Linked DNA regions of Coturnix japonica. The protein of the gene in region 1 binds, or shares a complex with, the protein of each later gene. Links are inferred from orthologs where the notes say so. Each region holds a gene or a part of one and is shown in the gene's direction. Other genes may lie near its edges.

Region 1 (3,599 bases):
GTATTCTTTTGGCAGCGTATCTTTCATTTCGCTTTCAGTAAAGAAGGAATCCAGCTTATGTTCTCCAGAATTGCTCAATGATGCAAAAAAACAGCAGGGTGATGGGGCGATGAATTTCAAAGTTGTGCTCCTGATCCAAACCAGCACACATACATGCTGACACAGGGGTGCTCCCATGTAATCGTAACAGTTAGTGTACCATACAGCAAGCTCTTAAGGTGAATCAGAAACAGAACCTAGCAGGTTGAACAAAATTCAGTCCATGGCTTCTAGCTGAGCCACTTCAAGAAAAACAAATCCAGTTTAGGAAGACATCTTCCTAGTAGTTAATTCGCCATCAAAATTCTACGATATTTAAACAAGACCGCTAATTCCAGTGGATTTTACTTACATGTACACATAGTGGATGCTATGATCCAGAAGAAGCTCCTCACTTTTCTTTCAAGTAGACTGGCATGAAGTGGTTTTAAGGACAGTTAATGTAGGAGGTAACATATGAGAGCTAAAATGCATGTGAACTTTTGATACTTTTTTGTTTCTGTAAAACACATTTTGAATTATCCCTAATGCTTATTTAAAATGCTCTTTGTTACAGAAGAGGAAGAGGAACAAGTACCAACAGATGGAGGTACATCTGCAGAGGCCATGCAGGTGCCACTGGAAGAAGAAGGAGATATGGAAGAGGACGAGGCAATTAATGATGAAAATTACTTGAGCAAGAGAACATTAGAAAGTCCTGATGCTGAAGAATTTCCACCCATGAAACGACCAAAACTGTCTGTTTCTAAAGGAGACGCTCTGGATGGAGCTTTGGAACCACGTGAGCCTCTTAGCTCAATAAATACTCAAAAAGTACCTCCGATGCTTTCTCCAGTTCATGTTCAGGACAGTTCAGACTTAGCCCCTCCTTCACCAGAACCACCAATGTTGGCTCCCATTGCAAAACCACAAGTGCCAGCCCCCAAGACATTAGAGTCAAAGCCACTTGCACCCAAAACAAAGTCCAAATCAAGTTCTCCAGGACAAAAGACAAAATCACCTAAAACTACCCCCTCACCAGTGGTTGCTGGAAGTCCCATACGTTCACCAAAAACTGGATCCAAAGAAAAAAAGTCACCAGGTCGCGCCAAGAGCCCCAAAAGTCCCAAAAGTCCAAAGGCTCCCGTTCATGTCCCCCCGCCACCTGTTAAACCTGAAACACCAAGCAGAACCCCTCTGGCTGCATTAAGTGACAAAATAGGAAAGGAAAACATTCAAGTAAAACAAGGACAGACACCACCTGAGCCTGTGACCAAGCCAAATATTGAAAACCAGACTAAGAAATTACCGGTGATGGACAAGACTATTGATGATTCAATAGATGCTGTGATTGCTCGTGCGTGTGCTGAGCGAGAACCCGATCCCTTTGAGTTTTCCTCTGGTTCTGAGTCAGAAGGGGAAATTTTTACCAGTCCAAAAAGACTTTCTGTTTCAGAGACTACAACTCCAACTCCTAAACCTTCTGTTTCTGCTAATTGTTCTAATAAGGCAGGAGCAACTCCGATACCTCCATCAGGTGGGACTTCGAGTTCAGACATTTCATGGACAATGGATGACTCAATTGATGAAGTCATTCGAAAGGCAAACATGGGGACACCTTCTAATCCACCTGCAAACTTCACTTACTTCTCTTCTCCTTCTGCTTCACCGCCAACTCCAGAACCTCTTCTCAAAGTCTATGAGGAGAAAACCAAGTTGGCTTCCTCTGTAGAAGTGAAAAAGAAACTGAAGAAAGAGCTGAAGACAAAAATGAAGAAGAAAGAGAAACAGAAGGAAAAAGATAAAGAGAAAAACAAGGAGAAAAACAAAGAGAAGGAAAAAAACAAAGAGAAGGATAAAGACAAGGAAGGAAACAAGGAGGCGAAGTTTCAGTGGAAGGAACTTCTCAAAGATGATGAACATGATCCCTATAAATTCAAACTAAAAGACTTTGAGGATGCTGACACAAAAGTAAAGTTGAAAGATGGCAATACCAAAAAAGAGAAAGAAAAACATAAAGATAAGAAGAAAGAGAAGGAGAAAGGTAAAAAAGACAAGGATAAGAAAGACAAAGAGAAAGTTAAAGATAAGAGTAAGGAAGATAAGATAAAGCCCCCATCAGCACCTCTTGTGTTACCTCCCAAAGAAATGTCTTTGCCCTTGTTCAGCACACCAACTGCCATGAGGCTTCCCAGCATGTTACCTTCCTTGTCTCCTATGCTTCCTGAAAAGTTGTTTGAGGACAAAGAAAAACCAAAAGAGAAGAAGAAGGACAAAAAAGAGAAGAAGAAAAAGAAAGAAAGGGAGAAAGACAAAGAAAAGGAAAAGAAGGATAAGGAAAAGGAGAGGAAGGAAAGAGAGAGGAAGGAGAAAGAAAAAGAGAAACATAAACATGAAAAGGTGAGTTGTTTAAAAGAGCTGAGATGGCATCATTGTTTGACAAGTGCACATGGATTCCTGAATTTGCTGCTGAGAAGCATATGTGATACAGAAGATATGTGACCACAGACTTCATACACTTTAAAACAAACAAACAACCAGTGTTGTTTGTTGCTTCAATGTAAGAAGCACCCCAGAAATTTCAGGTATTACCCTACTTCTTTGGGAGGCAAAAGAATAGAAGCTCAATTTTGTGAGTTTGGAATATGAGATCTTGCCTTGATTTTGGTTTGAATTGGGTTGGTTTGGTTTTACGTGAGATTTCTGGTTTTCCTCAACTCACTTTTCGCTTTGGAAAGCCAAGACTTACACTCAGTGGCAAAATGCAGAACAAATGTATGCTCTGTTGCAATGCCCAAATTTTGTTCTGTGGATTTCCTCTAGTGAGGCCAACAGCCTTTCATATAAAATTCAAATACAGTTTCTAGAAGTTTACTGTTTCAAAGCCTGTAGAAGTCTGTAGGTTACTGGATGGCCATAAATGAGGAGCAGACCACCCTAGAATAAGTCATCATTTGTGTACCAGTAGAGCTACCAAATCCTCTATTAGGAAGACCTCAGCCTTCATGCTCCAGTTAGACAGAAGTAAGAAAATTGTTTTCAACCTGTAGTCTAAATGCATATTCTGAATATTCAAATATCACCTTTTGTTTTGATTTTTAAGCTTGAGATGGAGGAGACCTGGCTTTCAAATGGACTGAGCTGCTTCTTCTCCTGTAGCTCTTACTGGTTTATATCAGCCACGGACAGTTCCTTCTTTCCAATATCACCTAATCTTGAGAATATCTTTAATATATAAAAAATGAAACCAGCATATTTGCATGTTATCTGATTTTAAATCCCATTAGAAATGACTTCCCTAATTCAAGGTTTGCTGTACTTTTTGTCACTTAAACTTATATTGTGCATTCAGTTGTTAATACTAAAAGAAAAAAAAAGAGCAGAAAAGAAAGAGATTGTCTTGGATACTGATAACCTTGGATGCAGGATTTCTTAAATCTCTATCCTTAGCATTAGGAAGCACCGCTTACATTCTGGTTTTACAGAGATATTCTTTACGTTCTGCTTTGAGTATAATACTCACTTTGTACAAGCTCAGACTTGGGATATTCCTCGCTATCCATTTTCGATGCTGTGAGGGA
Region 2 (4,096 bases), on another chromosome or scaffold:
AGCACTGGGATCGCAGAGGCACAGGGAGGTGTGGGGTGGGTACCGTGCTCCACACCAACACCTGAAAGCCAGGGCTGGACGTGGGGCTACAAACTTAGCATGGCCAGCCCCATCTCAGAGCTGTGTTACCCCATTGCAGACTATGCTGAGCCAGACGTGGTGCAGCTGAGCCCCAGCAGCCAGTTGGGCTCGTCCACCTTCAAACCCCCCCCAGATGAAGGCTATACCTTACCACTGGTCGTCAGCCATTACGACGTGCCAGGTAAACACCACGAATACGCGGAGCCTCTTCCTCCAGAACCCGAATACGCCACACCATTCGGTGAGCCCGAACCCAGCGGCACCCGATGGACCCACAGCGACCCCAAATGGACCCGCACCGACCCCAAATGGACCCGCACCGACCCCAGCCGTGCCGGCTCTCCATCCTCCCCCCCATCACGGTACGTTGCCCCCCCTCTGCAGCCCCCTGTGCTGGGCTCAGCCCCACCCGGTGCAGAGCGGACTGCTGGCCCCAATGGGGGTGAGGAGGTCGGTGCGGATGGACCCGGCTCAGATGAGCCCACAGACTGTCCCTGCTCACACGTGTACCACGAGGCCTGGTGAGGCTGCACATACAGCTGGAGGCCTTCGTTGTGTGGGGGGGCACAGAGGGGTTTTATAAGGAAATGTGCACTAATATTTAAATATATCCATATCTATATATACATACATGGATACAGAGCGATCCTCCATCAGCTGTGTGGACACACAGGTGGGTAGAAGCTCTGGGTACAGATGGTGCCTGGTTCCATACAGCCCCAACCCCATCACATACAGCCCTATGGGGGGGGGGGGTCCACTACAGTCTCAGCCCCCCTATAGACACCCACTATAGGGACCCCTACTCTTATCGCTGCCGTTCACACACCGCCCGGGGCGCCGGAACAGTCGGTTACCGGCGACCCCCCCCACAAAAATTGTGCTTCCGAAATCTCTTGATGTCGATTCCGCGGGGGCGGCCGCAGCCCCCCCGTGCCACGCACGGCAGAAGCCCTTTTTAAAGCTCCGCTATCCCGATGCGGCATATTACGAGCAGCGCAATCCCCTCGAGCTCCGGGCGAGCGAAGATGATGTGAAATACCTCATCCCCCACCTTTCCCCCTTCATATCGCTGCGCTTTTGGCTGTTTTCACATCTTTTTTCACTCAAAAATCTCGTTTTCCCGCCCGCCCCGTTGCTCTGGGAGCATTATGCAAATCACGCGGTGCATGCTGGGTTGCTCTCAATCCCCGCCTCCTACAGACCCAACATTGCGCACGCGCAGTGCGTCCCACGGCGCCGATAGTACTTCCGGCGGCTGGGCCTCGGTCCGCCCGCGGGGCATGGGGAGGTACGGGGCTGTATGGGGTTATATGGGGTTATATGGGGTTATATGGGGTTATATGGGGCGATATGGGGTTATATGGGGTTATATGGGGCCGTACAGCCGGTACCGGTGGGGCTGAGGTCGGCTACGAGGGGCTGCGTTGTCCTCCCGGTGATTTGCCGGGTCTTGGTGCTGATTGAGGCCTCCCGATGTAAGGAGAGCACGGGGCGGCCCGTAGGGATTGTAATACGGGCTGTATAGGGCGATATGAGCCGTGTATCAAAGGGCTGGGGGTGAGCCGCTGGGTGTCCGTGTGGGGTGTGCAGCATTGAGATCCATGGGAGCTGATTGAGAGTGATTGGAGGGGGATGTGGGCTGATAGGAGAGAAAGGGAGGGAGATCTGAGCTGATAACAACGGGATAAAGGGGAATGGGAGGAAGATCTGATGTGATAACAGGATAAAGGGGAATGGGAAGGAGATCTGACATGATAACGACAGGATAAAGGGGAACTGGAGGGAGATCTGAGCTGATAACGATGGGATAAAGGGGAATGGGAGGGAGATATGACATGATAACAACAGGATAAGGGGGAACGGGAAGGAGATCTGACATGATAACAACGGGATAAAGGGGAATGAGAGGGAGATCTGATGTGATAACAATGGGATAAAGGGGAGTAGGAGGGAGATCTGACATGATAACAACAGGATAAAGGGGAATGGGAGGGAGATCTGAGTTGATAACAACAGGATAAAGGGGAATGGGAAGGAGATCTGACATGATAACAACAGGATAAAGGGGAGTGGGAGGGAGATTTGACATGGGAATGACAGGTTAAAGGGGAACGGCTTCAAATTGAGAGGGAGAATTGGGATGGATGAGCAGCACATCCAACAGGAGCTCATGGATCCAAAGTGCTTCCTGTTAATTGGGAATGGCCAAAGTGTTCCCTGTTAATTGGGGCTGGGTGCCAATATCTGGTGTTCCTGTAGGAGTCCTGTAGGACTGGGAGTGATGTGGAACACAGTAGTTTAAGCTGCTGACCCCAAGGAAGGCTTTGGGAAATGGCCTCCCCGTTCGCTGGGCCCACAGCAGTGGCTGATGTAATTAAAGATCTAGACACGCAGATAGCTGTAAGTAAACGGAGTGAGGTTGCCTTGAGTTGGCATGCAGGGCCTCACCGTGGGTGTTTTGCCTTCAGTGATCTTAACAGCACCCAAAAGGTGCCATAAGATCAGGAGAATGATGTGCAAAGTGGCTTTATACCAACGAAGTGCATCCTGCCCAGGGTTTCAAATCATTGCTGTCATGGTTTTGTAAAGCCATGTAACAGGTGTTGGCTCCTTCCCTGCATGGATGGTGAGGATTCCTGCTTGGTGGATGTGGATATAAAGCATGGGAGCAAACAGCCTGCAGGCAGCCCCTGTGCAAACCCAGGTGTGCAATGAAACAGCGCTGAGGATGCTGAGGTTTGAGCATAAGGGCCTTGTGCCATTGGGCTCAATGTAAAGTCTCTTGTAGGAGAGCTCCGCATGGGTTTGTGTTTGTGAAGCACTAAAACAGCCGCTGGCTGAGCCTGATCTCTGGTTTTGTTTTCTGTATGGATTAATCCGAACTAACAGCTTGCTCTGCTGAAGGGAAAACGTGTTTGTAGCTGAGACAGGAGACGCTCTGCTCATCACTGTGAGTGCATTGCACACAGCAGCTCTGCTCCGTCCATGCAGCCGACAATGTGAGTAACCACAGGCACGTGGTGGTGACCCCAGGAGGGCTGAGCTGCACGTTGTGCTGCCACAACCTCCCCTGTTAGGTTTCCTCACTGTGGCTTTTGGTGTCCCTCCATGCGAAGCCACGTCTGTGTTTCCTCTCTTGTCGCTGTTCCTTAGAGCTGGAGCTGAGCTCTGTGTTGTGAAGATGGCTCTGGATTTCAGGAGGGGGATTGCTGCAAAAACTGAGACCCGCAGTGAGGGGAGCCCAAGCATGGTTGTCTTCTGGTTTAGGCTTCTGCCTCCTGGGTTTGTGGACTGAGCACAGACAGGGCTCGAGCCTGCTGTGCATTGCGGGCTGGGCTGTGTCCTTAGGTTAAATCTCAGCTCTGGTCTCACCCTCGAAGCCTCCTGCAGTACGTGTGAGGTGGTTCAGGCAGGCCCTGCTGTGAGGCTGAACACATGCAGGATCCAGCAGGGTGAGGAGCCGCTGATGTCAGGGTGCTGCATGCAGCTGCTGTGCTTCTCAGGGAAGACTTCATTGCCCATATACCAGGGAATGTCTTCTAAACGTTCAGGTCCAGAGACCCATCTATGAACTCTGGGTCCTGTCAGTACTTTGGATCCCCCTTTAGATTCCTGCTCTGTTTGCTGACTGTCTGTCTCCCTCTCTCCAGTTGATCGGTTTGGGTCCCCACAACCCCAAGAAGAAGCAGGACCTCGACAAGCTTTATGATCTAAAAGCTAAAGCCCAACAGATTATGAACCAGTTTGGCCCATCTACCTTGATCAACCTCTCCAACTTCTCCTCCATAAAGCCTGAACCTGCCAGCACTCCCCCTCAAAGCTCCATGGCAAACAGCACCGCCGTGGCAAAGATGCCGGGTACACCCAGCGGAGGAGGGCGGCTCAGTCCTGAAAGCAACCAGGTAAATTCATCCCCAGCTGCAGGGGGGATGCTCACAGCTCTCCCTGCTGCCCAGCAGTGCTGGAATTCCTGATCTATTCACATATTTGGGCTGATAGGATGCTGCCTTCT
Region 3 (4,234 bases), on another chromosome or scaffold:
CTGATGCCACCAATTCTCATATTGAATGCTGGTTTAACTTCAGGAGACATTTGAACTTCCCTAATTAAAGAGACACGACCTTGTTTGGATATTCTTAATGCGTTTTAGATGTGGTTTATTTTCATTTATCATCAACCTGTTCCTAAAAGCATGAATAGAACCTGGAAAGAAACTCCCCTGAACAAAAATGTGTCACCTGGATGGTAACAAGTGATGGGCAGCTCAGCCTCGTGACTCCAGCCAGATCATACAGTGTGAATTGGAGTTTGAAAGTGGGTTACCAGCTGTGTGGATATAGTGAGACCGACACTCTTTCCTACGAGTTCACTTTGTGCTCAGGATGGTCATTCACTGCTCTGCATCTTTCAGTTTGGAGGAGAATCCTGAAAACATCGTAAAGTGAGTCATCATTTCAGGCCACCGCGTAGCAGACCAAAGGCATCCAGCTCTGCAGACATCCATGCTATGGTAGGTCAGCAGACAGCTGCAGGAATCCAAGCTGTTCTCTGCTGTCAGCTTGAAAAATACACGGTGGTTATCGCTTGTGTGCAAGAAAGGATGTAATGAATCGTGGAAAGCGATGTGGGTAAAATCACTTTCTCTGCAGGTCCCATCAAAGAAACTGCTCTGTCATTTGTCAAACAAATTACAGGTTGGGGCTACAGTTTTCCTCCTGGAAAGCAGTGATGGAAAAAGCGCGTATAGAAAAGCAATGACAAAATTGCTACAAGCAGAATGAACCGCCTCACATTTCCAGTGGGGATGGTGAGGGAACAGCATGAGGGCAGCCGCTGTGAGGATGCAGAGCTGTCTGGTGGTTTACAAGCCTCCCACTGACAGTGAAACGCAGGAGTTTAGGACACGAGAGCTTTAAGCAGACACGGCAGCCTGCCTGTATCGGGACTGACAGCTTCGGGAGCACGATGCTGCCTAGGAGAACAAGCCTGCGTTGTGCAGCGGAGCCTTCTGGCCGCCCGCCTGCAGCTCCCGCTCAGCACCGCCTGCTGCCTGGGGCTGTTCACATGAGAAACGACTTGAAGGCGAAGCACACGGTCCTGGCAGCTTTGCGAGCTCCAGGTATCTCGATCGCACGGCGCTTCATTTCGCAGCGTGCAAACACACAGCGCTCCGAGCCGGCTGGGCAGGCTGTACCAGGCGTCAGAAATCCCGCACCGCCGTAGCGCTGCTGCCCGACGCTCCCACGCAGGTCGGCAGGCCCTGCCCGCACTGCCGGCCGGGAGCAGCGGGACCCTGAGCATCTCAGCAACCGTGCCGAAAATCGAGCCCCAAAGCGCCCACACCGACACACCGACACACCGACACACACCGACACACCGACACACCGACACACCGACACACCGACACTCCGCCCGCCCCACGGCGAGGGGAGGAGGGACGCGGCCCCTCCCAGGGTGCCCCGCGCGCGACACAGGCCGGCGCGCCTGCGCGCTGCGCGGCCGGCTCCCACCTCAGCGCAAGATGGCGGCGGGCGCCTCGGACCCCCTGGAAGAGATGCTGCTCTTCTCCGAGGAGGTGGACGAGAAGGCGGTCAGCGACCTGGTGGGCTCCCTGGAATCGCAGCTGGCCGGCGGCCGGGGCTCGGCCGAGGCGCCCCAGCCCAGGACCTCCGCCCCGTCCCAGCAGCAGCCGCAGCAGCAGCGCCAGGGCAGCCTGGCGGGGGGCGGCAGCCCCGTCCGGCAGCAGCGGGGGCACCCCGCGCCCCCCCCCGCTACCGGGGCGGAGGAGGCTGCGGCGGGCCGTCCCGGAGCCGCGGAGAGCCGAGCCCCCGCCCCGGGGCCGCTCCCGTCCCCGTCCCCCCCGGCGGCAGCGGCGGCGGTAGCGGCGGCGGCGGCGGGGCGGGGAGTGAGTGTAAACAGTAGTAGTGTGCAGCAATCACATGGAGCGGCTCTGCTCGGCGGCAGCCCCGCCGCCCCGGCCCCGTCGCAGCCCGCCGCGCCCCCGCCCGCCCCGCCTGTCAACAACCATGTGGCCGCCGGCACCGGCTCCCGGGACGCGGGCAGCCCCAGTCCCGGCCGCAGCCCGCCCGCCGCGGAGCCGCAGCCGCGCAACGAGGCCGCGGAGGGGAGCGGGGCGGAGGGCGGCGGGCGGGCGGCGGCGACGGAGGGAGCCGACTCCGCCGATCCCGCTCCGCTCCCCGGCGAGGCGGCGCCCAACGGGGAGGGCGCCAGGGCTCGGGCGGCGGCGGTGCCGCCGGTCAGCGGTCGGCAGAGCCCGGCCGGCAGGGAAGGCGGCGCGGCGCAGCCCAAGCCCGCGCACGGCCCGCAGCCCGCAGTAAACGCACTCGGCAACTCCGCCAGCCCCGCGCCCGCCGCTACCCCGCCGGGACCGGGCTCGGCCGCCAAACCCGCGGGCGTCTCCAAGCCGGCCGCTGCCCTCCCAGCCGCTTCGCAGGCGCTGTCGCCGCGGCCCGCCCTGGGTGCCGCCCCGAGGCTGGTGGCCCCGCAGCTGATCGTCAGGCCGCCTCAGCAGACCACCATCCAGCTGCCGCCGGGCTTCACCATCCCGCCCGGTAAGTGGGGCGGGCGGGGCGGGCGCTCGGCTCTGCTCGGCCTTTCTCTGACGGAGGTTTTCAAAGTTCGCGTTTTCCCGCTGCTCGGCGTGTTGAGAGCTAAAGGACGAGCACCCGTCTGAGGGCGAGTTCTGGCCGACTGTCCGGCATGAGCGAGGTTGTAGTTGGCTTAGGGCACTTTGCTGTTGGTGCAGAGTAGTTGTGCCTCTTGTTTGGCGAGTACTTGTTTCCTCTCGTTGGGAGAATGGTGGTCACGGTAAGTTATTTTGTAACGGTGTAAAAACAGCTGTGCACCAGAACAATCTGGAGTGTGTTAACCAGGAATCACGTCTCTCTTGAAGCGTTCTGCAATCTCTTGATATGGAGAAAAGTTTTCGTTTTCAGTGAGCACCTTCTGATGGGCACCAGGTGACTGTATCCATACTACACAGTCTGATTTAATGTGAAGTTTGTCCTTTTGGGGTGCGTGACTGTGTTGCCCCTTACTGCGTACTCACAGCCTTGCCATCACTGGATTTTGTTTCCAACCACGAAGAATTCCCCATGTCCTGCTTGTTCTCCTTTTATTTTCTTGGTGTTGTTTTGTAAAGTTACAAGTTTAGCTGGTGAATCAAAGCAGCATCTCCCCATCCCGGTACCAGGTACCACTTTACCTGAACATTCCCAGGGTCTCAGTTTGTGCTTAGATTACAGTGTTGCAAAAAGTTGCTAAGTTTGTTACAGGTCCGGGAGATGAATTGGTATGTAAACTTTTTTTTCCCCTCTTTTTTCTATCGAGGTCAGCAGTGTGACACTACCTGGAGATGCTGATGTAACCTCAAATAATCAATTTCTTTTGCCATGTTTCTTTTAATAGCTGTTTTTTGTTAGCTAAGATAAATTTTTCTGTAGCTGTGTATTTAACTGTAGTTTATGGAACTCCAAATTCTGGTGTCCCAACTGGATAAAGCTCAGAGGTTTCCCGGAGTCGTGACTAACTCAAAGGGGTTAGTTTAAAAATGTCTGGCTATATTCCCACTATGTTGGTGGCTTTAGCGATTGATTTCACATTTTTAATATGCTTGATTAATACTAAATTCATGTGAGAAACTGTACCATGACTTTCTATACAGTTTCTGCGGCTTATTGCCTTTGTTCCACTATGTAGTTTTTAAACAGAAGGGGAAAACGGAGCCCTTGAAAGCAATCTTGTCAGAGGTTTAGAGGCAGTTCTGGAAACAATAGTGTGGAAAATGTTTCACTTGAATTTAATTTTATTACTAGATAGCTTGGAATCCATTAAATTGCATTAACGGGAGGATAGCATGTTCTAAGGATGAGAGTAATTCAGAAAATACACTGTTATTTTTGATTAATTACTCTTAAGTTTGTACATCATTATTAACTGATATTGAAACTCCTGTACTGTGATCTTCTGCCTAATGCAGAAGTTTAGAATGAGTTTATTTTAGCAAGTATTACTATATTAAGCATATAATAACCAGTTCTAGCACTTCATACTGGCTTATGAGTTGGATCTTTTCGTGGCTGACAATAAGGAAAAATTAATCTCCATGTTTAACTCAGTTCCGAGGATCTGATCACTTCCTACGTGCTGCAAAATAGTTTTCAAGTCCTTAAAGCTGGATTAAAATATAAAATTGCTGCACGAACATCTTTGTGTCTGTAGAAGCAGTTATATCTGCAACTTTTATTGAAACCATG

Evidence for each region. The genes of interacting proteins can lie anywhere in the genome.
Region 2: TAF3 (region 1) and TAF12 share a complex: the UniProt entries of both Homo sapiens proteins name them as parts of the TFIID basal transcription factor complex. The link is inferred for Coturnix japonica from reciprocal best matches to the Homo sapiens genes TAF3 and TAF12.
Region 3: TAF3 (region 1) and transcription initiation factor TFIID subunit 4-like share a complex: the UniProt entries of both Homo sapiens proteins name them as parts of the TFIID basal transcription factor complex. The link is inferred for Coturnix japonica from reciprocal best matches to the Homo sapiens genes TAF3 and TAF4.

Annotation. Positions count from the first base shown.
Region 1 is NC_029516.1:3,778,018-3,781,616, forward strand, and holds part of TAF3 (transcription initiation factor TFIID subunit 3), read left to right. Parts: intron 1-595; coding exon 596-2,418; intron 2,419-3,599. UniProt on the Homo sapiens protein: The TFIID basal transcription factor complex plays a major role in the initiation of RNA polymerase II (Pol II)-dependent transcription.
Region 2 is NC_029538.1:2,029,149-2,033,244, forward strand, and holds the start of TAF12 (transcription initiation factor TFIID subunit 12), read left to right. Parts: upstream 1-1,296; 5' UTR 1,297-1,372; intron 1,373-2,343; 5' UTR 2,344-2,415; coding exon 2,416-2,484; intron 2,485-2,973; exon of another isoform or gene 2,974-3,083; intron 3,084-3,734; coding exon 3,735-3,986; intron 3,987-4,096. Other genes in the region: discoidin, CUB and LCCL domain-containing protein 1-like, read left to right, coding at 140-606. UniProt on the Homo sapiens protein: The TFIID basal transcription factor complex plays a major role in the initiation of RNA polymerase II (Pol II)-dependent transcription.
Region 3 is NC_029526.1:9,443,526-9,447,759, reverse strand, and holds the start of transcription initiation factor TFIID subunit 4-like, read left to right. Parts: upstream 1-1,434; 5' UTR 1,435-1,479; coding exon 1,480-2,530; intron 2,531-4,234. UniProt on the Homo sapiens protein: The TFIID basal transcription factor complex plays a major role in the initiation of RNA polymerase II (Pol II)-dependent transcription.